4 linked regions of the Notamacropus eugenii genome follow. The protein of the gene in region 4 purifies or fractionates together with the protein of the main gene of each other region. This does not show direct contact. Links are inferred from orthologs where the notes say so. Each region holds a gene or a part of one and is shown on either strand. Other genes may lie near its edges. The genes, in order: POLR3F, POLR3G, POLR1E and POLR2F.

Region 1 (7,874 bases), on a different chromosome or scaffold from region 4:
AGTAGGTACTTAATAAATGTTTATTGACTGATTTTATTGGTGTAGGGAACGGAACTCCTGATGATGAAACTCCCTCCACCATGTAGATCCAACCAATCTGAAATTTGTAATATTAGAGAATTGTTTGAGGTACTGAGAAGTTAAATGACTTGTTAATTATCACATTATAGCCAATACATCTCTGAGCCTGTATTTTCTACAAATATGGCTTACACACACACACACACACACACACACACACACACACACACACACACACACGAGGTTTCTGCCAGTCCAACAATCCAGACAACCAAAAAATCTGTATCACACTCTTCAGAGCTTCCTAGAAGGACTAACTCCTTGAAGGAAGCTCTTTCTGTCTCCTTTCTACCAGTGCCATCTTGATCTTACCCTTCCTGCCTTTCAGCAGTTGAAGAGAACATTTAGGAATGGCTACAGCATAATCTTTTCTCCTAAATAAGTAATGGGGGACAAACCAGAGCGCTCACCTCCACCATAAGGTATTGAGGATAAATGTAAATAATGTCTAAATCTCTTTAGCTAAATAGGGCCACTTTCTAAAGAGCTATTTTGTAATTAACTAAAAGTATAAGCTTCTTCCTGGATTTTTTGTGATCATATACAAGTTAACCTTAGAGAATTAATCACTATCTCACTCTACCTTTCCCATCTCATTACACAGTCTAGCCCAAAAGGTCTATTTGGTATTCTCTGCATGCAAAATTTTATCTCCTTCTTTTACACCTTTGCACAGACATGCCCCTCCCCTCCACGTCTGGAATGTCACTTCTATCTCTTTAGAATCCCTAGCTTCTTTTAAAGCTCAGTTCAAGTACAACCTCCTAGAAGAAGCATTTTCTAACTCTTCTAGGTGCTAACACCTCTTCCCCACCAACTATTTTGTATACATTGTAGCCCCAGACCTGGAGTCAGGATAAACCTAAATTCATATCTCGTCTTAGATGCTTACTAGCTATATGACCCTGGTCAAATCATTTAATTTCTACATTTTTAAACTTCTTGGGCTATAAAATGGGGATAAAATTTGTTGTGAGGATCAAATGAGTTAAAATTTGTAAATCACTTTACAAACTTTAAAACTAAACGTAAACGCTAGCTATTATTATTATATTGATATGTATACATGCTGACTCTTTCAATAGAAGGGCTCCTTAAGGGGAGGGGTTGTTTTCTTCTTTTTGTGTTAATCTATGCCTATATCCCTAGGCCTAGCACAGAGCCTGGTGCAATAAATACATGTTGTCTGATTAGTACTATGCCAACAGAAATAGATTTCAGGGTATGGTTTGAGGTTAAGAGATGGATGGATTTCTTCCTCTAATATTTTTATACATATAAGATTCATTTAAAATTGACATATATGAGATAGAATGGGAAAGCAGTGGTAGATCAAAGATATCTATCTGGAAAAGTGAGAAAGCATTTTCCACTGCCTGAGCCAGTGTTAAAAGTGCTAGTATTATACGCACTGATTGTATTTTATTGTACAGTATTGATCTGTTCCTTCTGAGGCAGCTAGGCGGTCCAGTGGATAAACCTGAGCTTGAGTCCTACTCCAGACTTTGATTAGCTATGTGACTCTGGGAAAGTCACTTAAAATCTTTCAGTTTCAGTTTCATCATCCATTAAATGGAGATAATAATAGTACCTACTTTACAGGATTGTTATGAAGATCAAATGAGATAACACTTTGCACTTTGCAAACCTTAATGCACCACACAAGTTCTCAATCTTCTTAGTTCCTCTCTCCTCAACTCTACCTGACAGTTCACCAGCCCATAGTTTCTGTTCCCTATTGTTAGGTCTGGTGGGCAACAAAATATTGGGTTAATTGTATTAAATCTAAAAAGGAATCCTATGCACTGGTAGAGGGATAGTCTTCACCAGAAGTTCCTTATACCAATGAAATCACAAATCTCATCCTCCCTATGATATAAAAAAAACATTAAAGAAATCTAGTATGATCTTAACATATTTGTGGAAGACAATATTGGAGGCATTGAATACACATTTAAGTATACATTTCAGTCTCTTCACCAAATCCTTTTCTGTAATGACTAACCAAAAAACAGAGACCTCTTGGTCAGTTGTATGATTCAAAATGTGGTCTAATGTGGAAAATATTCCAACACATGTCCTTTTCCTTCGAGGACTGAATTATATCTCACTTCAGATTAAAACTACAAACTTGGAGCAAGATATTTTCTTCCTTCTAATACAAAGGTTCTTAACTTTTTGTGTGTCATGGATCCCTTTGGCTGTCTAGTGAAGCTTGTGGACCCCTTCTCAGAATATTATTGTTGTCTACATTCACAATTGAAGTACACAATACATTTCCGTTAGAGGTTGGTAAAAATAAAGATGTAATTTATTTTCCCACCCAAATTCACAGGCTCCAGGAAATCCATTTGTGGATCCTTAGAGGGTGCCTTGGAGGGGTTTTTAGATTCTAGGTTAAGAACCCTTGTTCTAGAAGCACCTTGGAAGAAACTCACAGTGTTTGCACCTTCTTTGCCTCTTTATCAGGTTGGGTGTAAAATATCATTCAATTAACCTCATTATGATATGTATATACATATATAAGCATATACACTTGCCATGATATATGTGGATATACACTTTGCTATGAAATGTATTTATTCAGATACACTAGCTATATGTATATACTTATCTATGATACACACATATATAGACACTCTCTCTATATACACATATATATACGTATATACACTATATACGTATATATCTATACATATGCAGTAGCTGTGATATATGTGTGTGCATACGTATGTATTTATGTATGTATACACATATATACATATACAGAGGGCAGCTAGACGGTGCAGTATATAGAGTGCCAGACCTGCAGTCAGAAAGACTCTTCTTCCTGAGTTCAAATCTGGCCTCAGACAATTACTAGCTAGAGGACCCTGGGGGCAAGTCACTTAACCCTGTCAGCCTCAATTTCCTCATCTGTAAAATGAGCCAGAGAAAGAAATGGCAAATCACTCCAGTATTTTTGCCAAGAAAACCCCAAATGGGGTCATGAAGTCATACACAACTGAAAATGATTGAACAACAATAAAACACACACACACACATATATTATACAAACACACCACTCACCACACACTAACCTGCAACGAACACTCTAGCTCATAATGGTGGATGATGAACAAGTCTGGTTTTCCCAAAAATGAAGCCTTTACATCTGGGCTCCAAAACTCCACAAAGATATTTTAGTGTTGTTGGCTATGCCTTTGCCTCCTCCATTGTCCCTTCAGGCAGATACCATATTTAACAGTCAGGGTACAAGTATTAGTAGTGCAATGAAGCACTGGAGCAGGAGTCAGAAAGACCTGAGCTTAAATCCGGCCTCAGACACTCAGACAAGCTGGGCGACCCTGAGCAAGCCACTCAACCCCTGTTTACCTCAGTTCCCTATGGCAAACCACTCCAGTATTTTTGCCAAGAAAATACCACAAAGTACATGGGAGTCACAGTAAAGTCCGACATAACTGAACACCTGAACAACAACAAAATACACTTGCTATGTGTGTGTATATACATATACACAAGTTATATGTGTGCATATATAAATATATACATCTGTTATGTGTGTCAAAGTCACGTGCAAGTCATGTCATTATTTCTCTGACGGCATGGTCTTCTTCAGCAAAGAAGGACAAACACACACACACACACACACACACAAGCTTGCTGTATTAGCTGTGATTTCGTGGGGAAATTGTTCCCCATAATTATATACACAAACACACATCTATGTGTACAGAGGTGTGTATATATATATATATATATATATATACATATGTATACACACACATCCACACACATACATTTATACACACATATACAAAGCTTCCTGCATTAGCAACGATTTAGGGGGAAAATTGCTCCCCACAATATATATATTTATATATGTCTACTGTGGGGGGGGAGACGGGGTGGAAACTGTTCCCCACAATTACACACGTGCATAAGCTTTCTGCAGCAGCAGTGACTTTGCAGGGAAATCCTCGAGAGCGAGGGGAACCCCCAAAAGGTCTAAAAGCGCCCGCCGAAGCACACGCAGGACGGGCCTCGGGCAGGCGGCTCTACACGGCTGCGGAGGCCCCAGCAGCGGGCCCTCCTCTCTCCCACGCCAGCTTGGCAGCAGCAGGCATCCCGGGGCCGTCCGCGCAGGTGCTCGGGGATGTGCCCCAGGGACGCAGAGAAAGTCCGGGGAGCCGCGGGAAGGATAGGGGTCAGACACCCGAAGCCGGCGGGCCAAACTCGGTCGTGGTCATGCCCAAGGTCATGCCCAAACGCAGGTGTTCCCACCAGGTAAGGGGGTCCCCCCATTCATTCAGACCAGATGCTTCCCGGGTGTTGCCATCCTGCTGTCCTCCCCTGGGGTGTCCTGTGCCCGCCTAGACTGACCCCAGTTTCCGGCCGCTCCTCACCTGGCGGGTCCTGAGGACTCCAGTTACCAGAGACGCTTCAGCACCAGCCAAAACCGAGGAGACTATTTTGATTGGTTCAAATCTAGCTTCCTAGCAACTGGCTCCGCCCCTTCCAAGCCGTTCAGAGAATCCTGCTAGTTCTCTTCCTACCTCTAACTCAAGAAGCGTCTTAGGCGTTTCAATATTCGCCTGATCTATGGAAGGGAAATATTGAAGAGGAGAGCCTAAGGGGACAAGGAAAGCAATGAGTCCGTTGAATGTGTGGAGAAATACTTTAAATAGTTAACTCTGTGCACGAACCACGCAGCACCCAATTGTCAAACGGGACCGGCGTGACTTAGACAGCTCAAAGAGGGTCCTTGGCTGAGATGCGACTCAGAGAAAAAGGCCCCTTTCTGCCCAGGTGGGGGCGGAGGCCCGGGGGAGGCTGCTGGAGGTTCGAGCTAGCTCCTGCTTTCTCACCCCCGGCTGAATCATGGCTGAGGTAAAAGTGAAGGCACAGCCGCCTGATGCAGACCCAGTGGAAATAGAAAACAGGTAAAAAGGAGACGCTGGGAATGAATGATCTATAGTTTGCGTTCTCCTCTCCACCAGCCCCCCGCCTCCTCCCGGGCCCTCCTCCTTGGGATTCGCGTGGGGTCTTGGGGAGTGAAAGGTCCTGGGGAGGGGTGAGAGAGACTGTCCCGAGGGCTTCGGCCCCTCCTAACCTTTACCAGTCTTTGTGTCTGGGTCAATTCGAATTGATTTCGGGAAGTTTGCAAACGAACTCTAAATCACTTAGCTTGTTTTTGTTACAGTCTAGATAGTTAACTAAAGCTACACGTGTAGACTGAGGTGACAGTGCTGGGCGCATAGTAAGTGCTTCAAGGCTTTTTCATTCATTCATGAAATGACGTAAAAACGTGCTTTGAAAATCATTCTACTAGTGGTGATAATTGGACTATGTCTGTGGTCTAGTGTGAGGAAGTATCAGAGTTAAGGAATGCAGAATGGAACCTAAGACCTCAGGCTCTACCCAGGGATTCTTAAATTTTTTTTCTGTCAAACCTGTGAATCTCTTCTTAAAATGTTATTTTTTTAAACGGATAAAACAAAATAACATAGGATTACAAAGTTATATAGTTATTACAAAATTATAATTATGTTGCTGTGTGATTATCAATATATTTAAAAAGATAAGCGTCACAGGGCTTAGGTAAAGGTCTTTACTGTAACCTAAGGACATTCATAACGTTTTATTAATTATTCTGTCAGTAAACATACCTGTCAATTCCCCACCTAAGAGCTGGGGATACAAGGACAGAAGTGAAACAGTTTCAACTATGCTTCTATGGAGGGAAACAACGTATACGTATATAAGCACATACAAAATACATATATGGAGAGGAAAGACACTTGGAACTATTACCTTTGGTCCTTAATGCCCTGACTGGTGAAAGCTCATCGTATTTAGTTGACCCCATGCCCCTGACCGTACTTTCTCCCTATTAATCTTCCATTCATGCTGCTGCCCTTTGCTTTCCATCGTGCACTCTTCCTACCTCTTACTCTAGGAACAGCAATCAGATCAATACTTTAATTGCTTTTGGAAAGACAATCTCATTTTAAGAGTCCAGTTAATACCCTCACTACTCTTGTACTTCTGGGCCAAACTGTTCTTACCTAACCTCCACTCTCATATATGCTTTGTTTCTTCCTATTAGAATGGATGTTCTTTGAGGATTTGAATTATTTCTCTTTGATCTTTGTATTCTCAGTACTCAGTGAAGCACATAATACATAGGAAATGCCTAATAAGTGCTTTTTTTGTTCATTCACTAAACAGTTTGGAGGAAGGAGATTTTATTAAGAAGGTCAAATCAGCAAGCATCATTAAGTGGCTACTATGTGTCAGGCACTGTTCTAGGAGATACAAAGAAAGGCAAAAAAACCCGTCTTCTCTCAAGAAACTTGTAGTCTGAAACATTATGCAAACAAAATATATGCAGGGTAAAATGGAGATAATCTCAGAGGGATGGCACTAAGATTAATGAGGATCAAGAAAGCTTCTTGAAGAAAGTGAAAGGGAAGCAGGGAGGCAGAAATAGGAAGAAGAGCCTTCCAGGCATCGAGGACAGCCAGTGAAAATGACTGGAGTTAGAATTTGTGTGAGGATGTGTGAGGAAAAGCAAGAAGATCACTATCACTGGGTTGTAGAGTATATATTGTGAGAAGAATGTACAGGGGAAGAAGACTGGAAAGGTGTGTGTGTCAGGGGAAGGTTATAAAGGACTTTGAACCCAAACAGAGGATTTTATATTTGATCCTGGAGGTATTTAGGAACCACTGGAGTTTATTAAGTAGGGAAGTAACATGGTCAGACTTGCACTTCAGGAATATAGTTTGATAGCTGAACGGAGGATAAACTGGAGTGGGGAGATACTTGTTAAGGCCTACCAGTAGCTATTTTCATAATCTATGGATGAGGTGATGAGGGCCTGCAAGAGGATTTTGGAAGTGTCAGGAGAGAAGGACACCTAAGAGATATTTTAAAAGTTAGATTAACAGGATTTAACAACTCAGTGGCTATGAGGACCGAGAAAAAGTGAGGAGTTAAGATGATACTGTGGTAGAAAGGAATAAAGGGTAATATTTATGAAAAGGTATGTTGGGACCAGGCTGTGAAGGCCTTTAAATGTCAAACAAAGGAGTTTGTATTTTATTCCATAGATTGTAGAGAGCCACTAAAGCTTCTTGAGCAGGGGAGGGATGTGGTCAGATTTGTGTTTTAGCTGTGTAGAGAACTGAAAAGAGGGAGAAATCCGAGACAAAAGGAAATTACAACAATGGTTAGCATTTATATAGTGCTTTACGGCTTTGATCCTCACAGCTATTCATATCTCCATTTTATAAATGAGGAAACTGAGACAGGGAGAGTTTAAGTAATTTGCCCAGGATCACATAGCTGGTAAACATCAGAGGCTAGATTAATTGTTTCAGTAGTCCAGGCAAGAGATGATCAGAGCCTGAACTATGGTTTGGGTGTATAGAAGGGGACAGATATAAAAGATGTTTTAGTGAAAGAATTGACAAGACTTGATTGGATATAGTAGCTGTGGGATGAGGGAGAATGAGAAAGTAATTGATTTTATATGTAAGAAGAGAGAGAGTGACGGAGGATGATTCTCAGTTTATGAATTTGAGTGACTGGATGTATGATTGTGCCCGTATCAAAAACAGGAAAGTTAAATAGAGAGTTGAATTTGGGAAGTATTGAAATGCTTATTGTATATACAGTTTGAAAGTTCCAGTGGGCAATAGGTGATGAAATAGAATTTAAGTTCCTTCTTTGAGAGTAAAAACTTTGATTTTTTATTTTCTCATTGCCTAAACCAGTGCCTGACATAT
Region 2 (7,371 bases), on a different chromosome or scaffold from region 4:
GTCAGAACTTCCATTCAAAGGAAGACAACGAAACAGGTAGAGTCTTAGTTTGAAAACTGATAATTAAGGAAAAACTATCCTTGAAAAGACTTTACCAAAAAAAAAAAAAATCATTTGAATGACAATGGTTTTCTACTCTTGCTTCCCCACCAGTCAAGAGTGGACACAATAAAGTAAAAAGGTACACAGCCAACTAAGGCTGTCATTTCCTGCTATTAGCTCTACCATTTTGTAGGCATGATCGAGAGAAGGTTCTAGAATCATACCCAGTGCTTCCACATATTGAGACCAGTTTAAGGATTAGCTCCCCATCTCACATACATTCATGGGTACAGGCTACTTGCATTTAGTAGTGACCAGAACTGGCACCATTTAAATTGTTATTTCCACCCCACCCCCCACTCCCCGCACCTCCCACCCCCACCCCCATTGTTGGTTTTTTTTTTGGCTAGTAGGTCTAGTGGAATTGTGGAGTTGAATTTGGGTAGGTTAAATGATCATTCCATCCCACTTCTATTAGTTTCCTATTCTCACAATCCAAGGTCTTCTTTGAGTCAACAAGAAAGGCAAAAATCTCTTCAGAAAATATCGTTTTTTATATTCTGAAAATAGTTTTCAATCATTGCTCTCTAGAATGATGAATTAGAATAATTAGAATTAGAATGATCTAAAGATCCATGTGGTAATTAATAATGACATGGACTGAGTTGATGATAGGAGAGATCGTCAAAAAAAATAGTTAACTTGGCATTAAGGATGCTCCATTTGATGTAAGTCATGGAGTATCTCTTTTATTTAAAAGTGCTTGCTGGACAAAGGGCCATAGGTCACTAAAACTACTGTCAAAGGGTCACCAAACTAGGGGTGCAAAGACGAAATCATTAGTTAATTCTGTGGATAAGGAACGAGTTCATGACCAAATTAGGGGGTCACAGGACAAAATTGATAATTTTAATTATATAAAATTAAAAAGGTTTTGCACAAATTAAACCAATGCAGCCAAACTTAGAAGAGAAGCAGATAAATGAGCAACTAAGTTTCTCTGATAGACTTCATTTCTAAGATATATAGGGAACTGACTTAAATTTATAAGAATAAGAGCTATTCCTCAATTGATAAATGGTCAAAGGATATTACTAGGCAGTTTTCAAAAGAAGAAAACCAAGCTATCAACAGTCATATGAAAAAAAATTCTCTATATTACTAATAATTAGAAAAATTCAAATTAAAGTAACTCTGGGATTCCATCTCATTCCCACGGTATTGATACAGTAGACAAATAAGTTAAATGACATGCTAGAGGGTTTTGGGGAAAATAGGTTATGAAATCCAGTCATATTCTAAAACAATTTGGAAATATGCCCTCCAAATTATTAAATTATCTATGACTTTCAGCTCAGCAAAACCACTAAAGGCTCTATACCCCTAAAGAGATTAGAGGGAGAAAAAATACTCATATGCACAAAAATATTTATATCAGCTCTTTCTGTGGCAACAAAGAATTGGAAACTGAAGGAGTTCCCATCAAGTGGGTGATGACTAACAAAATTATGGTAAATGTATATGATGAAATAATATAATGCTATAAGAAAAGGTAAAGGGCATGGTTTCAGAGAAACATGGAAAGACCTGCCTGAATTGATTCTGAGTGAATTGGGCAGAACCAGGAGAACAATTTATACAGTAACAGTGATATAGTGATAATTTTAAAAGACTGAGGAACTATGATTAATAGAAGGCCCAACTACAATTCCAGAGGACTCAGGATGAAACATGTGATAGACGTTTTGGGGGGGGGAGGGAACATGGCCAACTTGGGAATTTGTTTTACCTGACTGTACATGTTTGTAACAGGGTTTTATTTTTCTGGCTTCCTGAATCTGGGGGTGGGGGAAGGAGGCGGGGAGAGAATATGGATTTAAGAACAGTGCCAGAGGAGCAGCTAGGCACAGTGGACCAAACACCCACCCTGGAGTTTGAAGGACCTGAGTTCAAATGAGACCTCAAGCCACTTACTAGCTGCGTGACCCTGGGCTTTATCCTGATTCCCTCAAATCTGCCAAAAGCGTCTGGCCAAAGATTGGGGAATGGCCAAACAAATTGTGGCATATGAATGTAATGGAATATTACTCTGGTGTAGTGGTCTGAGATCTGGCTTTGGGGAGAGACTTCTGTTCAAATTTTGCCTTGACAAATGTGACTATGGGTCGGTGAGGAAGTCACTCAACCCTTCAATGTACCTAGCAAAACAAGTTACAAAAAAGAAGCAGAGCCAAATATGAGATGGAGGAAGTCACATACAAATGTAATCACAGGCCCAGATAGGAAAAATGAAAATCATAAGATTCTCATTAGTATAGACCTGCAAGCAAGGGTTTTGTAGATGTATTCCTCCTTGGCAGTCTGACAAAGCCTATGGCCCTTTTCTCAGAATGTTTTTAAAGGTATAAAATACATAAGATTACAAATTATATTGAATTATATTGAAATAAGGCTGTAATTTTTCTCCCATCTTAAGAATTTCTGACTGGAAGTCCCCTTAAATGGTATCTAGTGCTCCTAAAAAAACATTCAGGCTCAAGAGCTTTAATTTGTTCAAGGTCACACACTCAATGAAAGGTGGAATTTGAACCTAGGCTCTCTCATTTCGGTGCTGGTGATTTTTAGACAGTTATTCTTTCAACAGACATAAGGTAAATGGGGTCAGAACTGGATGTCATTTGGAGATAAGGAATAACCTGGGAAGACTTGGATTAACTGAGGCAGAATGAAGAACCAAGGAAACCTAGCCAACGACTACAAGAACGTGAATAAATAACACTAAAAAGCATCAGAATTCCGATTAAAAAAGCAATAACTTGTGTTGATCCTAGAAAGCAAATAAAAATATTTCCCTTTCGAGTAGCAATGGAAACTAAGGGTGGGGAATGCTGCAAACGGTGGCTATGTCTTTTGGTTCCAAGGTAGGGTCTGAAAGAGGAGGGAGGGAGATCTATGTCGTGAAGAGGCTGAGGAGAAAAGAATTTTTTTTTCCTTAAGTGACTGGAAATGTCAAACAGGTGCTCAGAATGGGAATGAGTGGGTGGAAATCTTTCAGGAAATTCAGTCTCACAGCCTGTGGCATTCCCACTGCACCAGGCTAGGGAAACTAATTAGGGGGCGGAGCGTCTTCCACTCCACTAGTAGTACATTGTATCTCTACTGTAGCAGAGCGCTTTCCCCTCCCCTCTGCAGGGCCCCGGGAACCCAAAGGGCCTCTCCAAGGAGCTTTTCTCCTTCCAAGGGAAGAAATGGAGACAGGTGTCATTTGGGTGACTTGGCAAAGGATCTCCCTCTCTTTCACACACACCCCCCCCCCCCCCGCCCTCCGTTTGGTTAAGCTCACCAGGGCTCTTCCAGGCCGCATGCACCCTCCCCCTCCCTTGGCGCCCCTCTCCCCACGGAGGGGCCAGCGCTCCATTACCCTCCTGCAGGATGTGGGTGGGCTGCACCGCTTGCACCCGAAACTGCCTGGCGTTCCAGCCGGGGCTCGGAGCCCGCACCACTTCGCTCTCCGACAGCCAGGTCGCAGTCTCAAAGTTGTCCCCGCGGGCCAGGGCGTCCGCCTCGGCCCGGTGCACCGCTACCTGGTCAAACTGGTAGAGCCCACCGGCGTGATCGAAGTGGACGTGGGTGGCCACGGCCAGCAGCGGCCGCCGCACCAAGTCCTCCCCTTTGTCCGGGTCCTGCAGGAGGCCGGCCGAGTACAGGTACTCGGGCAGGCTTCGAAGCCCCAGGCCGGTGTCGATCACCACGTCCTGCTCCGTGCCGCGCACCAGCCAGATGTTGGCGCGGTTGCCCGACTCGAAGAAGCGCTCCTGGATCCAGAAGATGCCGTCGCCTAGGGACTTGTGCGCGTACCATTCCAGGGCCGACATGCCGGGGCCGGGATGTGAGGCGGGAGAGTGCGGGAGTCGGGGGGCAGGGGCGCGAGCAGACACCAGTGCGGCGGGGCCTCTCCCTCTCTCCGGGCTGCGGACACAGCTGCAGCTCCCACAGGCGGTCGGCGCCGTCTGGAGAGGAGGAGGGCTCGGCGGGGGCTCAGGCCAGGGGGGCTGGGCGCGGGAGAGGCTGCGCTGCCCAGGGCCAAGAGGAGGGGCGGGCGAGGGGCGGGGGTGGGGAGGTGGGAAGGACGCGCCAGCAACCGCAGCCTGGACCGAGCCCCCCGCGAATGGGCGTCGCGGGGCAGCGCCTTCCAATGGCAGCGCGGAGCCCACTGCAGCAGGGAGGGCGAGCGCCCACAGCGGCACCTTCTCGCTCCACCCTCCTCACCCTGGGGTGGGTCCAACTGCAGCAACGGCAGGGAGGGGGGAGGCAGAGAGAGAGACGTCTGCAGAGCCACAGGTCCCGCGCGAACGCGTGTGAGCGCGCGTGCCCGAAGCTCGCGGGGGCCGAGCGCGCCTGCCAGGGCTCGCCAAGCCGGCCAGGAAAGGGTGGGGGCGAGGCTGCTCGGGCAGCAGGCAGGGCGCCTGCCCAGGGCTGAAAAAGCTTGCTGTGCAGGGGGCGGGCCTGGGGGCGGGGCCAAGAGGCCTCAGCCGGCTGGAATTTGAATGCTGCTCTGGAGGGGAAACAGAGAAGGGAGGGGTTCAGTTTGCTTGGAGGTGGAACCCTGCGACCGGGAGAGGCTGCACAGGTAACCCAGCACCCTTTGCCTGCCAGCCTTCGTGGGCACACTTGTGAGTTTGAGAACATAAGCAGCCCCAGCCAAGCCCGGCCAGGGAGGAGAGGTAGGCGATGGGGACCTTGAGGGGCAAGGGGAGTTGATGTGGAGCCTAAGGAAAGGGCTCTCGGTTAGGAGAAGTTAATTGAAACCTAGCCCCCGGCCAGAAAGAAGTTTGGACCCCTCTGCCTCTTTCTGTTCCCATTAAACCCCAAATGTTCTGTAATGATTCTTATCTGATTGTAACCTGGGTCCCCCTTGCTGGGCTGACTGCTATGAGATTAGAAAGTAATTTACTCATTACTGAGGACTTTGTGGGCCATTAACCGCGTTATATGGACATAACCTTCTGTAGGGAAGGGATTTCCCCTCCTAGGTATTACTGGTCACTGCAGCAGGCTTGCAGCAAAGGGTAGAACATTTAGTATCTCTTTACTTACCTGTCAGCACATTAAACCGTGGCATGAGGTGAGGAGGGCTGCCAAGCTCTAAAACAAAATAAGATCTATTTTTTACACTTTTTCATGGTTGGAATAAAAGCAAGGCAAGGGGGATGGGAACTGGAAGAGGCTGAGCAAAGTAAGAGAAGATAGCTGGCAAAAGATGAATTGGGGAAGACTGGAAAGGGTGGGTGTGGCCCAGTTAGCCTCCTAAAAGAACTTTCCCTTTAACCTGCTCTCCCTACCCTCCTCCCCACCTATTGGTTGACTACACCCACGGAGATTTAGAAAATTTCCCAGGATTGTGGCCTGAGGCTGACTTTGGCCAGAAAAGCTCTTCTATCCACACAGCATTCTTGGGCCCTCCCAGGATTGAGAGTTTCTTGAAGTCTGCAATATGCAGTCATAAAAGATAATTATACGAACTCTATTTTATGGAGACAAATACTAACATGCCTCTCTGTTTGAGGAAGAGTATACTATTATCAGGCTATAAACTGCTTAGGATGACTTTAGTCATGATGGAGGTGTGGACTGGAAATTTTGTATTTACCTTTCTGTTCATATTTTATACCCCTTTAGAAAGTCAAGACAGCAAGCATTTATTAAGCCCCTACTATATGCCTGCCATGTGCTAAGTGGCAAAAGAAAGGCAAAAAACCCAGTGCCTGCTCTCCAGTAGCTCACAGTTTGATGGAGAATACAAGAGAGGTCATCTGAAAGTTGTGAGATGGTGGCCTCGATTTTTTTCAGTGAATATTATAAGTTCTCAGCTGAGGTAGAGGGGATAGGAGATCATTAGAGACTTGAGGAGGGAAGAAAAGGTTTAGAATGGATTAGGGAGCAGGACATCCTCCCTTTCTTTTTTTGGCCTGCTTTATACATAATAGGTAACTAATACCAATCTATCAACAAACCTTTATTAAGCCCCAACTATGTACCAGACTTGTGCTAAGCACTGTGGATAGGAATTGAGGCAAAGAGTCTTTGCCCCCTAGGAGCTTACAGGCTAATTAGGGAGAGATAGCATGCAGATATATGAAAAGTAAGCATACAGTAGGAAATTGTTAAGAGGAAAGGCACTAGAAATAAGAGGGGTCAGGAAGGCTTCCAGTAGAAGAAAGAATTTTAGTTGGAACTTCAAATAAGCTAGAAAGGTCAGTAGTAGGAATTTTGGAAAGAGAGAGTCCCAGGTATTAGGGACAGCCAGAGAAAATGCTCCAAACCAAGAAATGGACTGTTTTGTTTACAGAACAGCCAGGATGCCAGTGCTATTGGATCAAAGAGTGTGTGTTGGGGAGTAAGATATACAAAGACTCGAAAGGTAGGAGGGTTTAGATTATGAAGGTCTTTGAATGCCAAAAAGGTATTTTTTATTTGATCCCAAAGGCAATAAGGAGTCACTGGGGTTTTTTTTTTTGAGTGGGGAGGTGATATGATTGGACTTGCACTTAAGGAAAATCACTAGCGTCTGAATGGAGTATGGATTGGAGAGAAGAGACATGAGGCAGGCAAACCCAGCAGGCTATTAAAATGGTCCAGATCTGAGGTGATGAGGGCCTGTACTTTGGTCGTGGCAGTGTCATTGATGAGAAGGGCTGCGTTCAGGAGATAGTGAAAAGGTGAAATTGATAGGCCTTGCTAACAGGATATATGAGTGAAAATAACACCTAGGATATGAGGGATGATGTTGACCTTAACAGTGATCCAGAAGGTGAGGGACCGGGAAGGGTTTAGGGAGAAAGTTAATGAGTTCAGTTTTGAACATGTTTAATTCAAGATATCAACTGGACATCCAATTCTAGATGTATGAAAGGCCTAGGGAGATTCAAGATTGGAGGTCAGCCAAGAGCTTGGGGCAGGATAGGTAGATTTGAGAGTTATTAGCATAGAGATAGTCATTAAAATCCTTGGAAGCTGATGAGATCACCAAGTGAGGCAGAATTGGAGAAGAGAAGAGGGCCCAGGACCAAACACTGAGGGGACACAAGTTGAAGGGCTGATCTGTAAGAAGATCCAGAGAAGGAAACAGAAGGAGTGGCCAGATGGGTAGGAGGAGAACTCCGAGGGAAGGATGTCCTACAAACCCAGGAAGAATTATCAAGGAGGGGAGAGTGATCTAATGTCAAAGGCTGAAGAGAAGTCAAAGAGAATGAGGAATGAAAAAAGGCCACTCGATTTGGCAACTAAGAAATCACTAGTAATCCTCGAAAGAACAATTTCAGTTCAATA
Region 3 (7,872 bases), about 22 Mb from region 4:
CCCCTCATGGTCAAGGCTATAGGTCACTGTGTAGCCTTGGGTCCCCCCCACTATGGATGGGGACCTTACACGTATCTAATCTGCCTCTTTGCTAGCAAGCCATTTCCCTCACTTTGAAATTAAACTTCTGTTTGATTCTTGACTTTCGTATCCCTAGCCTACTCTGTTTGGCTCTGGCCAGACACAAATTAGAGGTTGACAAATATAAACTATAACATATCATATCACCACTATCTGATACTCTTAGGCGGTAGAGAAGATTCCTTGGAGAATTGTGAAACTACTAAATAACTTTGTTTCTTTGTCCGCACTAAATCACAGATATTCTGGCCAGCCAGGGCAATGTTGTGGGCATGTCCTCTAAGAAGGATGTACCTGGGGAAATCATTTACCTCTGAGCAACAAAACAGAACACCTAAATCAAGGATTATGAAACTCTAAAACTCATGAAGAAGTTAGAAATATCCATCTCTTAATATCACTATTTGGTGATCAGGGAAAAAAAGCAGAAATCAGAAGAGACAGCCAGATCCAATCTCAAAATCACAGACAAGCATATTCTTTGTTGCATGTTTGTTATACCACCATAACCACTTTTAAGGTCGTTCCTTCTTCCTAGCTCCTGAAATCTAAGGGAGAGCTGGCAATTGGTTGTGTTCCAGCAAAGAAGTCCCTTTTAAAAGGATTTGAAGCTGTTGACTACAAAGGACCTGAGTTCAGCAATCATGAGAACTCGAAGGCAATGAGTCACAACATAATATCAAAAAGAATTTTATGCAAATGATGGAAAGTAATTGAGGCATCAACTGTAGGAAGAGGCCCCAATAAAAGCCTTGAGGAGAGGGCTGGTTAGGTCAGGAACTCAGCATCCGAAGTTTGATCTGGAGTGAGGTTTCATTGAGCCAGGCCGCAGCAATTTTTTTTATATGAAACAGTGTGATTTTGTTCTTTGTTGTTTTTTTCTCTCCCTTTTTACCTAGCAATTATCTTATAATTGGACCTTACACAATAGGTTTAGAACCTGGGAGCTCCACAAAAGAGTTCCACCAATGGGGTTAAGGAAGAAGTCATTAGAGATCCTTTGTCCAACCTGTGTTTCCATAAGAAACTTCTGCCAATTCCCTATCTTCAATGGAAGCCACCTCTCCTCGTGTATCCTTTAGCCCAGAGAGTGAGTAGCTCTTCCTGGCTTATCTCTCAGTCCTCTTTCACATGATCCTCGGTCATAGGAACCAATAAGGAATTAATGCATCAATCTTAAGCAAAGCAAGAGGTCACAGTATATGTCTGTTTCCACAGAACCAGAGCAAATAATCCCTGTGGCATAAAATGTATAAAAATTAAATACAAGATAATTTTGGGAAGGATACCAGCAGTTGGGAGGATCAGAAACGTATAATGTAGAAGGTCCTTCTTGAGTTGATTTTTGAAGGAAACAAGATATTCTTTAAAGTGGAGGTGAGGAAGGAGTATATTCCAGGCCTGGAGGAGGAGTATGACTGAAATGAGGGAGTGTATGAGGAGAGTAATGTATTATAATTCGGGAGAGCTAGGTTGGGGTCAGGTTGTGAAGGGTTTTAAAAGCTAAACAGAAATTTATATCTAATCTCAGAAGTGATAAGAGGTCCCTGAAGTTTGTGGAGTAAAGGAGTAACATGATCAGTTGCCTGCTGGAGGAAAATCACTTTGACAGCTGAACAGAGGCTAGATCAGAGAGGTTAAGAGGCTTGAGGCTGGTAGACCAACATGGAGTTGATTGCAATAGTCCAGTCAAGAGTTGACAAGAATCTGAACCAGTGCCCCAGTAAAAATAAAGTGACAGAAGTGAGAAATGTAGTGAAAGTAAAAACCAGAAATTTTGGCAAATGATTGGATATAAAGTGGAGAGAGTAAGAACTGGAAGACAGCACTGAGGTTGTGACCTTGGGTGACACAATGAATGAATAAGCATTTGTTAAATGCTTACTATGTGTAAAGCACCTCACTAAGTACTGGGGATAGAAACAGAAAAAGGAAGATAGTTCCTGCTCTCAAGGAACTCACATTCTAATGGGGAAGATAATAGTGCCTTTGACAGAAATAAGGATGTTCCGAGAGTAGTGGTTGGGATGGGGGAGGAAGAGAATCAGCTTCATTGGAATTTGTTGAATTTGAGATACCTGCAGGATAGCCAGTTTGAAATTTCCCATAAGTAACCAAAGATGCACAACTTAAAGATCAGAAAAGAGATTAGTGCTGGATATAGATTTAAAAATCATCTGCATAAGTTGAAGCATACCTTTTTCCACTTCATTTGTCTTTTGGTATGGTTTTTTCCCCAATGTGGCTAATGTGGAAATATGTTTTGCATGACTTCACATGTATGATCAATAACATATTGCTTACTTTCTCAAGGGATAGAGAATTCAGAACTCAAAATTTTTAAAAATGAATGTCAAAATTTTTGTGTATGCAATTGAGAAATATTTAATGAAATAAAATGTATTTGTAAAAGAAACATTTAAAATCTTAAATGTAATTGGGAGGCGTAACAAAATAAAAATATATTTTAAAAATAAAAATCATCTGCACAGAAATGATAATTAAATTCATGGCAGTGATGAGGTCACCAAGTGAGAAAGTACAGAGAAAAAAGAGAAAATGCAGGATAGTATCATAGTTAAGGAGTGTTATACAGAAAAGAAAGTGGAGAAGAAATAGTCAAAAAGATAGGAGGAAAAGCAAGAGAGAGTAGTACCAGAAACCTTGAGAGAGGAGAGAGTGTTTACTGGGAGAGGCTGGTGAGTATTGTCAAATACCGTAAGGAAGTTGAGAAGTTTGAGAGAAAGCCACTGGATTTGGACCTTGTAAGAAAAGGGCCCTTGGGGCTTACTGTCAGACACTTTCTTCCTGTGTCCCTCACTCTCCTATCACTCAGAGCCAGGTGTACAAGAAAATATTACTGTTTCAATTAATGTTTTATTTGATTCTTTTAGAGTTCTCTAAATAGAGCATCATACCTCTGCAAAAACTTCTTATTTGTCTAGGTTCCTTCCCTCAATTTCTTTTTCTTGTTTTCACTATAGTTAGCATTTCTGACACTCTATTAAATGACAGTGTTGTCTCTGGACATTTGTGCTTTACCTCTGATCTTATTTGTAAAGGACTATCGAATTTCTTCACTACTTATAATGTTGGCTCTTTGTTTTACATAAGAAACTATTTGCTATCTTAAGGAAAGATACATTTATTTCTGTGATTTTTAATACGTGAGGCTGTTTGTTCTTTAATAGACTTTGAATTTTGTCAAAAACTTTCTCAGAACATATTGGTATAACTAATTTTTATTTATACGAGCTATTATAAACTATGTTATTCCTAATATTGAACCTCCCCTATAGTCATGGTATAAATCTAACTTGGACAAGTATCTAATCTATTTAATATACTATTGTAGCCTCTTTGATATTTTATTTAATATTTTGTATCAATATTTGTTAAGGATATTAGCCTATATCGTTTTCTCTCTTTTTTGTCTCTTCTTGATTTAGGTATCAAGACTATATTAGTAATAATAGAAAAAGTTTGGTAGTAAACGTGATTTCCAATTTTTTTGCAAAAAACATTATATAATACAGGAATTAACTATTCTTTGAATGTTTGATACAATTCACTTGTAAATACATATAGTAACGGGAGGAGTTTCTTGAGTTCATTTATGGCTTGTCCAATTTATTTTTTCTGATGTGTTAAGTTCTTGGTTACCTTCTTTTAACGAGTATTTAAATTTTTTAATAAATGTTTTCTATTTAATTTGTCTGTTGACCCCATAATTGGACAAAATACTTTGATAGCTTCCTTTATCTTAATTTTTTATAAATTCTTTTCATTTTTGATGCTGGCACTTTGTTTTTTCTTTTCAAATGGAACTAGTTAACTTTGTAATTATTATTACAAACAGCTCCTAATTTCATCGATCGGTTTGGTGGTTTTTCTTCTTTCCATGTTGTTCAGCTCTTTGATTTTCAGGATTTGCTTTGTTATTTAGCTCTTTACTTTTCAGTCGTCCCCTTACCAACCTATGCTTTGTCTTTCCTTAATTTTTGGACTTAGATATAAATTTACTATGGAGTCCTGCTTTAGTTACATCCCAAACCTTTTGTTCCTGTCATTCTCTCTGATGAAATTGCCTGTTGTTTCTTGGATTCATTCTCTGATCCACCCGTTCTTAGGAATGATTTAATTTGTTTCTTCCACTCCTCCCACCCCTGTCCTGAGTGATTTGTTTAAGACACTTTGTTTTGTTTTTTCTAACCAGACAAGAAAGTGAAGCTCACGCTGAAAAGTCACCAAGTGGATTTTTGCCCAGCCCCTCCTGAGAGCAGAGGGGGTACGGACCTGCAGTCAGGAGGTCCCCATCACTGTCAGCACCTTGGACAGATGCTGTTTGCCCATTGAGTCCGCAGCCCCCAGTGATCCTCATGGTCCTCATAGGAGCTCCAGCCTTCACCTGGGCTGTCATCAGCTCCAGCTCACGGTGTGTTGGAGGCATGGGGGACTGGTAAGAAGAAGGAGCATTTAGGAAGCACTAGACGCTATTGTTATCATCCACATTATACAGATAGGGAAACTGAGGCAGGTGGAAGCTAACAGACCCGGACCAGGCGTGCGAAGACGCTCGGACCGCCCAGCCACTAGCTTGGACAAGGGGAGGAGCCGACGGCTTCAGGGGGCGGAGCTTAGAGGGCGATGACGAACCCGAGGCTTCAATGGGCGGGGCTTGGGAGGAGGGACTGAACCGGACAGCCGTAGGAAGCTGGATTGAGGAGAGACCAGCCAGTAGGCGTTAGGAGGCGGTGCTTCTGAGGAGACAACCAATCAGCTGAGAAGCGGAGGCTAAATCGACAGGTCTTCAGGAGGCGGGGATTGGGGAAGGCCCGGGTAGGGCGGTTCTTCCGGCCCCGCGGCCCCGCCTCTTCCGGTGGAAGCGGGATTGGGGAGCTTGGTGACTGGAAGCTCCACATGTGAGCTCCGTGGAGCGCGGACCGAGCCGTGGCCGTGGGTTCCGGGGGATCTGCTCCGGCCATGTCTGCGTTTGCAACGTGGCAGTACTGCGGGGAGCCGGGCGAAGGGCAGAAGGCTGCTCTGGGTAAGGCCGGGGGCGGCAGAGCAGCTTTACCCCCTCCCTTAGGGGCTGTGAGGACCGTGCGCGCCCGCGTCGGGACCGGCGCTTGTAGTGCCAGAGGCATGACTTAGACCAGCTCTCGCCCAGCGCCGGCCTCCGTGCTCCCTACATGTCCAGGAGGCGCTGGGTGGTGAGGGCCTCGAGCGCCCGGACAAGCCGCCGAAGGGCCTTCGTGAAAGGGCAGGGCCTCCCGGTGCATGCCGGGCCGGCTCCAGGCGTCCTGAGGATGACCAGCCCACCGGCCCGGACGGCTGTGGAGGGGGTGAGGCTGGTGAGCGGCCGGCCCTCCCCCTCAGAGCAGGGTCAAGGGCGGGTCAGGCCACGAAGGACGAGCACAGCCCACTCCCCACTTCATCGGGCATCAGAAGCTCTCCCGGGGCCCGTCTCAGCGCACCCGGCAGATGCACCAGTGTTTGCGTACGGGCAACTCTCTTCCCTCTCCACCCCCCTTCTCACTGTGGATACACCGTCTCTGTAAAACGCACAGTACACCTACAGCTCCTTCAGGTCGTGCCTTACAGTCTGTCCGCGCGCCGGTCAGGGAGGCTGTCCTCGGGGGTCCGTGTGACCCGATGCCCCCTGCAGTGCCCCCTCCTGCCCTTAGTCCCCATGCGCTGGCTGGCCTTTCTCCTGTCTAGCTGTCCTCCATCAGAGCACTTGTTTGTCCCCAGACTTCCCTCGGTCTCTCCCTCAGGACCCAGGGAAATATTCTAAAATGACTGTGCTTGCCCCTAGTCCTTGGTCTCCATCCTCTTCTCACTCTGTAGCCAAAGCCAGCGTCCTCTCTTGTTACCTCTCACATAGGAAGGGTCTGGTAGGATTCGCTTTCTGTGACGTTCGTAGATACTGTAGCCCAGAACTGGGGATTGAAGGGCTTTCCTGTTTTTATTAATTACATTAATGGAACTCTTTTAGAAGTCCACTCTGCATTCAGCGCCACTTCGTTGATCATTTTCTGTGCATTTATTGCAGTTCAGTTTTCCAATGGGAAACTCCACAACGCTGAGAATGTGAATTTTTCCTTGTACAAGAGCAAAGACACCACCAACCCCAGGAAGAAGTTCAGGAGGATTTTGGTGAGTCCCTCAGTAGTTTTGTCTTTTTTTACAAGGTGGTGTGTGCCTGGAAGCGGGCGCTGACCCAGAATGAGAACAGCTTTGCCTCATGGGGACCGGGCAGAGCTGATTAAAATGCTCCTAAGCTGTTTAAGTCCCAGTCAGGTACATGCTGTGCTTGGGTCTGCTGGGTGCTAGGGGTGCAGAGGTAAAAGTGAAGCAGCCTCTGATTTTAGAAGGCACTAAATACCGTCAGAGGAGACCTCGTGTACGCATATAAGTGTGTTCGTAGTCATTTGGGGGGTGAGAGAGGATGCCCCAACATCTGAAGAGCAAGAAAGGCCCTGTGGAAGTGGCTTCTGAGCTGAGCTTTAAAGAAAACTAGCAGGGGTCTTTACTTGAACTGAAACCTGCCTGTGTCCTGTGGTCCTGGTTCTGCTCAGGGGCCAAGGAGAGTGAATCTTAGTCCCTTTTCACATGAAAGTCCTTCACATATTGAAGACAGCTCTTATTTCCCTGTCTTTCCCCCAATTCAGTATCTTCAGTTCCTTCAGTTGATTTTCATAACTTTGTTCTTTGATCATTGTCTCTGCCCCCCTTCTCAATGTACTTTCGTTTGTCAGTGTCCCTCATACAGTGTTTGCCTGGAACTGAATGAAGTTAAATTCCAAACATGCTCTGATCAATACAGACTATAGTGAGATTATTAACTTCTGTTAATACAGTCTAAGATCCTTTTATTGTAACCATGTCATATGTTATTGACATAATTGAGGTTGTAGTCAGCAGATGCCTCGTTCGTAGAAATTGTTATTTATCCACAGCTCTCCAATCCTGTACTACAGGATTTTTTAAAAATTTTACATTCATCCCCAGATATTTTAAAAATAAATATTTTGTTGATGCTTTTGATATGTTTCACTTTTCAATGATTTATCTTTCCACTAACAAGTATAGTTAAACAAATCAGATCAACAAATCAGGCACACACTATGGAAAAAGTGCAGCATTTTAAAAGCCTTGGGTTCACATTCCAGCCCTGTCACTTATTACCACTATGATTCTGGGCAAGTCCACCTCTCTATGAAATGAGAGGGTTGGATGAAGCAGTTCCCTTCCAGTTCTCAGTCCTTGATTACAGACGCCTGGTTCTGCATCCAGATCTGTAGCCCATCCCCTCTCTGCTACGAGGAAGAAGAGTTCTGATGTCTTTAGGGGTGCTTTCCTTTATGTTACCGTGGTCATCATCTAAATTGTTCTCTTGGCTTTCTTCAAGTTATAGGGTCATAGATTTAGACCCATAAGAAAACCTTAACAGCCATCATGTTTAACCCCCTTGTGCAGATAAGGAAACTGAGGTATAAAGAGGGTAGGTAGAGTCAGATAGAATAAGTGTCTAAGGTGGGATTTGAACCCGCCTTTCTTAACTGAGTTCGTTGTCCTATCCACTGTTCCATGCTGTTTTCCCAAGTTCCTCTGACTTCTTCAAAATCATTATTTCTTACAGCACACTATTATTCCATTACATTCATATACACTTTGTTCAGTCACTCTCTTTATGTAGGTGTCTACTCTGTTTCCGTTTTTAGCACAAAAAGATTGCTGCAAATAGCTAATACACAGAAGTATGGGAAGATTGGTATCAATATGTGT
Region 4 (7,514 bases):
CTTCCTTCACCACTGAAGAGGAGAGAAAACTCATTCACACACAGGAAACTCTCCAATCCTGTTCATCCCTCCTGCCTGAAATAGGAAAGGCTGGATTCTCCCCAGGCCCGAGAATCCCTTCTCTCCCCTGCCCTGGCCTGTGATATCACAGTTGGCCAAAGGTGCCAAGGCTCAGAGCAGGAAGGGACCTTGGAAGCCACTTGTGTGACAGAGATGGGCTGTGCCTTGCTTGAGGTGGCCCAGGAGCAAGGTTGGAATACCCTCGTGGGCCCCAGGCATACTCATAGTGCCTTACATTCTTCAAATCTATCTGGCTCCGGGTCTGAGGGCAGAAGCTCAGCCTGCCGAACAGATGGCTTCTTTTTCTTTTTCTCAATGCCTTCTTTCCCATTGGCAAATATGTTTTGGAGCCGCTCCTTCTCCTTCTCTATATCTCCTGCAGGATCCAAGTGTGAGAGATGGATGGGAGAATAGCACACATCCTTGGACTAAATGGGCATCCGTACCCAGGCTCCCTTGGGGCATCTTTCTCTCTGGAAGAAGGGGGGAGGCACAGATAGGGCAGTGAGTGGTGCCAAAGAGCCAGGTGATGCTTTGGTGATGTAGACAGGAGCAGAGCTTCACATGGGAGACCCACTCTCAGAACAAGGCTCAGGGAGGGAGGAAGGAAGGATGACTGACAGCCTCTGCCTTGCTGAGGTGAGGTGAGGAGGGAGGAGAGTTGCTCTGGCCTCACCTTCAGGCCCTGCTCATCTTACCACTGTATCCCAATAAATCTCCTTGGGACACATAAGTTTTGTGGATTTTGTTTTCCCCTTTCCCCTCCTGCGTCACTCATTCCAAAAGGCATTTGCTGCACATGTTGGAATGGGAGATCTTGCCCAGTTCTCTGGTTCATTTTAAGGAGAATCTTGCAAACTCAAGGAAATTGCCCTGTCTCAGTATCTGTCCTCAATTGTGCCCATGGCTAGGGCAGAGGTTGGCAGTGCCTCATCTCCTTATTCTGAAGCCCAGGGCTTCAAGACTTACGACAAGGTCTTGGCTTGAACTGGTCTCGGGTGTAGGCCTCAGTGGCCTGGCAGACTTCAGCAGGGCGGAGATGGGGCCTTGGGGCCAAGATGGGAGGCAGACACAGGCTGTTGATTCGTTTGGGCATTGGCTTCTGGCTAGATACTGGGTTGCAGTAAGAGGGCAGCGCTTCGCCTCCTGGGGAGAGACCAGAACAGAAAGAAGTCCAAGACCCAGGTACCAGGAGTCCTGCCTATGGCCAGCCACTTCCTAGCCTACTCCCCTGAGCCTCAGTTTCCCTATCTGTTCAACAGAGATGATTGACTTCCAGTGGCAGATATGCACCAGTGTAAAGTCCTGTCCAGGTCAGCAGAGGAGATGAGGCTGGGGGCAGGAGGAGGATGTGGAGGAAGGGCCAGGGAGCCCAAGGAATGATCTCTACTAAGGGTTTAGGAAGGGAGAGCATCCAGATGGAAAGATATGCAAGAATGCCCCCTGCCCCGGGGCCTTTGCTATTCCCCAGAGCCTCCAGCTAGCAGGCAGCTCCAAGACCCAAGTCATGGGCTTTTGCAGGGAGTCCCTGGAAGTAACACCCTTCTGCCTTGTAGAGTTCATTAAACTATGCAACTCCTTAATGCATTTAAACTGATGTCCATCCTGTTTAACTGTGTCCCTCTACTAGTTTGGAAGCTCCCAGAGGGCAGAGCTATGTAGACGTCTTTATATCCTGCTTCTAGCACCTAGGTTGGGAGCTTCTTTGAGCATGCCCTCCATAACTGTGGGCTGGAAGAATCAGGGACCCAGTGTCACTGAGCTTGAGCAGAGGGAAGGGGGGGATTCACAGATACCAAAGACAGACATCTATCATGACAAGACCATGAAGGAGCCTGGCCATCAAAGTCTGGTAAGGAAGGATGTCAGAAGTAGCAACTTTGGAGACAGAGGACCCCAACTCAGATCCTGGCTTCTTACTGGGGCTGGAATGGATGCTCCCAGAGGTCCCAACTCTACATCTGTAATCCTGGTAGTGGCACAGGACAGGAAGCAAGGCCTAGTGGGGTAGTTTGGGATAGTAACAACTGACATCCTGACTGGGTGACCCTCTCTGTGATTTCAACAGCTCCCTAAGGTTGCAGAGGAAGTAGAGGGAGTGTCCTCACCTGAGAAGTCTATCAAAGAAATTACAGGTCCAGTCCCTGTAAGGCTAGGGCCTTAGGAATGGTCCAGGTAATTGGTACCAATTGGTAAAGAGGAAGAAGAGAGACCAAGGCTACAGCCTAGGCTGGAAAAATTTTACTGAAAAGGTGGGATATGGATAGTCTTAAATTGGATAAGGGAAGTGGTACAAAGACTTGGGAGGTGAAGAGGAATGTCCATGGAATGTAAGGGGAGCCTATTTGGCTGTGGAGGAGAATTCCCCAGAGGGGGGCAGTGGGAAAAAAGTTTGGACAGTCAGGTTCAGGCCAGATTGTGGAGAACTGTCTTGGAATGGAATGTGTCCCACAGAATTCCAGAGTTGGATGACTTCTGAGGTCCAGTCCCATCTTCTCTCCCTTTTCAAGTTAACCCTCCTGCAACATTCAACAGAGGACCCATCTCCCATTTTACTGAAAAAGTTAAGGCCAACAGAAGTGAGCACCCTCAAGATTGCTCTCCCAAATGTCTCAGTTCAACTAGGCCAGTGATTTTCATGGAAGGAAGATGGAATCTGCACCATCCTCCCCAAAAGACCAAGACTAGTTTATAGATATGGAAAATGAGCCATACACAGATGACACATTACATCCCAAAGGAATCTCTAGACACTATGGGAGAAGTGCCTAATCAGCTATACAGCCATTACTGTGCCATTCTAGTTAAGGCGTGAGGAGAGTGTTGAAAGGGCAGGAGGAGGATCAAGGCTTCAAATTACTTTTCATCGAATCCATGAGCTGTCGCTGCTGGAAGCTGGTGAGTTTGGACTCCTCCATCATCACTGCAAAACAAGCAGGTGATATAAGAGCCACTGGGCTTCTAGCCCTCCTGGGGCCCTGTCCTGATCAGCCCTTCCTTCAGGGCTGTCCCTCCACTGACCTTTCAGCAGCTGACAGGTTTCTGGGGTGTAGCTGGATTGCCGTGAGTGCCAGAAGCCAGTACCTTTGGCCACAGCTCCTGATTTCCCCTTTGCTGCCATGGCAAAACCCTACAGGTGGAAAAGAAAGGTTTTTAGGACTAGCCTTCCCAGAATGTTGAGAGCTGAAGGGGATCTCTTCTAAGAAACAGGCTTGGGGAGAAGGATGACTTGTTTAAAATGAGCCATTGAGCAGTGAAGAGATTTCAGGTCTGGTGATGGGTGGAAGCAGGTCTTGGGAGAGGGCAATGCCATTAGCAGGGTCATTCTACGGACGGATGTGTGGTTCTGCTCAGCCTCGGAGGGCAGTCTGACAAACAGGAGTCATGGGTGCAGATTTAGGCTTGACGTCTAACAATTAGAGCTATTCAAAAAGGAGAAGGGTTCCCTCTCGCTGGAAATAGAAGGCTGGAGGATCGGGTGGGAGGAGACCATGGTGTCATTGGTCTAGAATGGGAAGAAGTCTCCCCCAAACGTGGACTTCTTGAAGACCTCCAGGGACAGGGAGCTCGCTACTTCCTAGGGCAGAAATCGTCCTGAGCAGGACACAGGGATGGGGGATTCCTAGAGGGGGGCCGGGGGGTGGCCTCGGTGGTCAGGAGGTCCTTGCAACTCTGGGCTTCTTCTGACCCCGAGCAGTCCAGCCTCAGCTCTACCCAGGCCAGGCCTGATGGGAATCATCTCCTGCCCTCCGGGGACGCCCGAGCGGGGGGCTCAGGCTGCACCGGCGGCGACGAGGAGAGGCGATCGCTGCGGCCGGCCCTCGGCGACACAAAGGGCGGAACTCGCCCCCTGTGGTGCTGGGACGATCGCGACAGGCCGCCCTTGTCGGGGAGGTGCCACGTGACAAGCCCCCCGCGGCCACCCGCCCTGGGCTTCCCCTCTCCCCCAGGGACGGGCTCCGGACCGCTCCGCTCTCCCCAACGGGTCCATGGGGCTCCGAGCAGCGGCCGCCTCCGGCTACCATGGCAACGGCTGCGAAGGCCCCGCCCTCAGCCCGGTCCGAGCTTCCCGGGCCCCTGGTCCCGCCTACGCTGCCATGGCAACCGCCCAGGCTCTAGGCTCCCCTCCCTCGCTTCAGGCTCCGCCCCTTCACGAACATTCTGGGCCCCGCCCCTGGCATCTCCTATGCATGGCCTAGCCATCTCCCCTCAAGCCCCGCCCCTTCCCCCAGCGCTTCCGTATCCGCCTCCGGCTCCTCTAGGCCCCGCCTCCAGGTCCTCTGTTCTGGCTCTCCCTCCCCTCCTGGTTCGGCTATGTCACTGCACCGGATCGGTCTCGGTCTCCTCTTCCCAAGAGCTCCCCACTCTGCTTCCGTCTCCGCCTCTGGCTACCGGGGGAACCGCCGCGCGCCCTGCTCGGGGCTATCCGGCTCCTCTTTGCCATGACAACGGCAGGCCCACGCCCCTTTTTGGCGTCAGGCTCCACCCCCTGCCCTCTCTCTGCCCTTCTTCGCCCCAAGAGCTCGAGGTTCCGCCCCTTGGCCTATTACCGGAACTTGCTCATATGCTAAGGTCACCGCGCAGGCGCAGGGAATTCTGGTAGGGCCGGTCCGGAAGTGGGTGCTGGAAGTCGTGAGTTTGGTCTCAGTGGCGCGAGCCCGAGCAGTGCAGGAGGCCAGACCGGGTGGCTTGGGCTCGTCGGGTTCCGTGAAGAAGGTTCTGCTGGGAGACAGCTCTTCCTGGCCAAGGCGGCCACTGGGCCCGAGCCCAAGGCTCCGCAGGCATGTCTGACAACGAGGACAAGTGAGTGCGGAGAAGGGGCAGATAGAGCGGCCCGAGGATGGGGGGAGGGGAGGGGGATGGAAGGAGGGGGATGGAAGGGAGACTGAGAAATGGGGGCTCAGCATTGGAAGGTAGGATGAAAAGAGGTGCAATCACAGAGGCATTATGGCCTAGGGTCAGAAAAGCCTGGCTTCGCGTCTTGTCCCGGATCCTGACCCCTAGATGATCTTGGGCAGGTCTCCCCCCGCCCCCCCACCCGCATTAGCACTGGCCTGTGCCCCTCCGATGTTGGACTCCGTGGCTTCTGGTGTGAGGCCTCTTTTGTCTCCTCTTGTAGAATGAGGGCAAGGACCGTCTGGTCTCTGTCTCTGTCTTCTTAGGTGCCTGGCGCACACACCCTGGCAGGTACTGGAGGATAGTGATGTGCACTTGGGGTATGAGTCTAGCACCTTGAGGATCCTGAAGCCACATGGGGACAGATAAGGCCCGGGGGGGGGGGGGGGGGGGGGAGGGGGCGGTCACTTCATCCAGCTCCCTCTTTTTACAGTGGGAGCTTCTCCACCTCCAAATGCAGCCTTCTTTTCCACTGCCCCAGCAGATCCAGGCTAGAATTGGGGGAGATGGGGGAGGGTATTTGGCCCTCTCCGAGCACCCAGGTTCACTGGTGCTTTCTTCCTGTACAGTTACGATGGTGATGACTTTGATGACGTGGAGGAAGATGAGGGTCTAGATGACTTGGAGAATCCTGAGGAGGTCTGTACTTCTCCCATGGCTCTTACTGCCACAGCACAACTGAGGCCAGGGCTGGGTGCCAGTCACCTGGGTGCCAATCACCTGGGTGCAGAGCATAGTATCGTTCTAGTTCATGGCTCTTCTTCTCACCTGGAACCCTGGAACCACAAAGGTCACTGAGCATAGAGTGGAACAGCCCCCCCCCCCCCCCCCCCGCCTCCCCCCCCCCACTGTAAACCAGCAGCCCTGTGTGCAGACAAGCCAGCTGCAGGCTTTTCATGCCATCCTTTGTCCTTGGCTGCTGGGGCTCTCAGTCCCTTCTTGCAGGTGAAGCGTCGTGGAAGGGACAGATCTAGGACAGAGTTACTTTGGAAGACCAGCCTCTTCCCTGGTTTCGGGATGTGGCAGCTGGCCGGGGGTTTCACGACAAGAAGTACATTTCCATTTGACCAGTCTTGTGGCCATTCAGTAAAATTTTGGTCTGGAAGCCAAAATCTTTTTAAGCTTTTCTTCCTCCAAACTTGTCACCTCTGTGGTTTATTCCACTTGGAAAATGGACTGAGCCCTCTGTTGGGGGTATTCGAAGTCTTACTTCCCCATGATCTCTGGTTGAAGTTGCCAGGAGCCTCTAGGTCTGAGCCTTTGACCTTTTACACCCACAAGGAAATTTCCCACTCTCCTCTCCCTCTTTTCCTAGGAGGGCCAGGAGAATGTGGAGATCCTTCCCTCTGGGGAACGGCAGCAGGCAAACCAGAAAAGGATCACCACCCCTTACATGACCAAGTACGAGCGAGCCCGGGTCCTGGGCACCCGGGCCCTGCAGATTGCGTAAGTAGAAATCCCCCTTTCCCTACTCATCCCCCACCCCACTCCCACCCCATTGACATCTCAGTTCAACTGACATTAAGAGTACAGGAGCTAAAATGAGTTTGAGAGTCAGGAAGCCTTGGCTTCAAATGCATCCCTCGTGGCCCTTGTCCAGCCCTGTTGCTTCTAGCTATGCTGTCCTCTCGATGACAACTGAGCTGTTAATGGGTTGCAATCTGCCTTTGTCAGAGGACTTTCTCCACTAAGGAGATCTTAGGAAATTGACACAGAGTTGAAGTCCAAAGTTTTGTTGTTGTTTAGTTGTTTCAGTCATGTCTGACTCTTCATGACTCCATTTGGGGTTTTCTTAGCAAAGGTACTGGAGCGGTTTGTCATTTCCTTCTCCAGTTCATTTGACAGATGAGAAAACTGAGGCAGATAGGAAAGTGACTTGCCCAGGGTCACACAGCTAGTAAGTGTCTAAGGTTGTACTCAGCCCTATGTTCTGTCCACTGCACCACCAACTGCCAAAGTCACCTAGAAGTCAAAGGCCCAGGGCTCACTTTGACTTGAAGTAAGTCATTTCATTTCTCTGGTCTCAGCTTCCTCATATGTTAAATGAGACTGGACAAGGTGACCTGAAAGGCCCCTCCCAGCTCTGAGTCTTTGATTCAGGGACATGTGCCTTCATGTCTCTAGTGCCCAGCATAGTGCTTCCACCTGCTAGGCCTGCAGCCTTGAGGCCATGTACTAGGCATTTAACAAATGGTTATTGAGTGAAGGGTTAATGAATGAAAAAAGCCTATGGTCTAAGTGAAACAAGTACACAGAGAACTGGTATAAATGATATTAGTGCATAGTAGAGATGCAAGGAAAAACCAGGAGGATAAATTGGTTGAGGAAGAGATGGCTTTCCCCTGGAAGGTTTCATTGGGGCCTGGAAGGAAGGTACTTCCTAAGGCAGGGGCGAGATGAGAATGAGGAACAAAGGGAAGTCTGTCTTTGTCAGAACCTAAGTGGTAGGAATGAATGAACGAATCAGTGAGTGAGGCATTTCCTAAGCTCTTCCTTTGCACAAATCACTGCTAAGCACCAGAGACACAGAATAGTCCCCCGTGCCCTCCAGGAGTTCA

Evidence for each region.
Region 1: the proteins of POLR2F (region 4) and POLR3F purify together in Homo sapiens (affinity purification with mass spectrometry; 4 studies listed by BioGRID and IntAct, with this or other methods). This does not show direct contact. The link is inferred for Notamacropus eugenii from reciprocal best matches to the Homo sapiens genes POLR2F and POLR3F.
Region 2: the proteins of POLR2F (region 4) and POLR3G purify together in Homo sapiens (affinity purification with mass spectrometry; 3 studies listed by BioGRID and IntAct, with this or other methods). This does not show direct contact. The link is inferred for Notamacropus eugenii from reciprocal best matches to the Homo sapiens genes POLR2F and POLR3G.
Region 3: the proteins of POLR2F (region 4) and POLR1E purify together in Homo sapiens (affinity purification with mass spectrometry; 4 studies listed by BioGRID and IntAct, with this or other methods). This does not show direct contact. The link is inferred for Notamacropus eugenii from reciprocal best matches to the Homo sapiens genes POLR2F and POLR1E.

What each region holds. Positions count from the first base shown.
Region 1 is NC_092872.1:593,327,984-593,335,857, forward strand, and holds the start of POLR3F (DNA-directed RNA polymerase III subunit RPC6), read left to right. Parts: upstream 1-4,863; 5' UTR 4,864-4,962; coding exon 4,963-5,024; intron 5,025-7,874. UniProt on the Homo sapiens protein: DNA-dependent RNA polymerase catalyzes the transcription of DNA into RNA using the four ribonucleoside triphosphates as substrates.
Region 2 is NC_092875.1:450,149,641-450,157,011, reverse strand, and holds the start of POLR3G (DNA-directed RNA polymerase III subunit RPC7), read left to right. Parts: upstream 1-4,356; 5' UTR 4,357-4,589; coding exon 4,590-4,672; exon of another isoform or gene 4,673-4,766; intron 4,767-7,371. Other genes in the region: acyl-coenzyme A thioesterase MBLAC2, read right to left, coding at 3,464-3,917. UniProt on the Homo sapiens protein: DNA-dependent RNA polymerase catalyzes the transcription of DNA into RNA using the four ribonucleoside triphosphates as substrates.
Region 3 is NC_092874.1:316,992,071-316,999,942, reverse strand, and holds the start of POLR1E (DNA-directed RNA polymerase I subunit RPA49), read left to right. Parts: upstream 1-4,855; 5' UTR 4,856-5,064; coding exon 5,065-5,128; intron 5,129-6,136; coding exon 6,137-6,240; intron 6,241-7,872. UniProt on the Homo sapiens protein: Component of RNA polymerase I (Pol I), a DNA-dependent RNA polymerase which synthesizes ribosomal RNA precursors using the four ribonucleoside triphosphates as substrates.
Region 4 is NC_092874.1:295,434,403-295,441,916, forward strand, and holds the start of POLR2F (DNA-directed RNA polymerases I, II, and III subunit RPABC2), read left to right. Parts: upstream 1-4,500; 5' UTR 4,501-4,843; coding exon 4,844-4,863; intron 4,864-5,525; coding exon 5,526-5,595; intron 5,596-6,271; coding exon 6,272-6,402; intron 6,403-7,514. Other genes in the region: C3H22orf23 (UPF0193 protein EVG1), read right to left, coding at 1-12, 296-436, 1,030-1,206, 2,921-2,983, 3,082-3,190, 4,026-4,085. UniProt on the Homo sapiens protein: DNA-dependent RNA polymerase catalyzes the transcription of DNA into RNA using the four ribonucleoside triphosphates as substrates.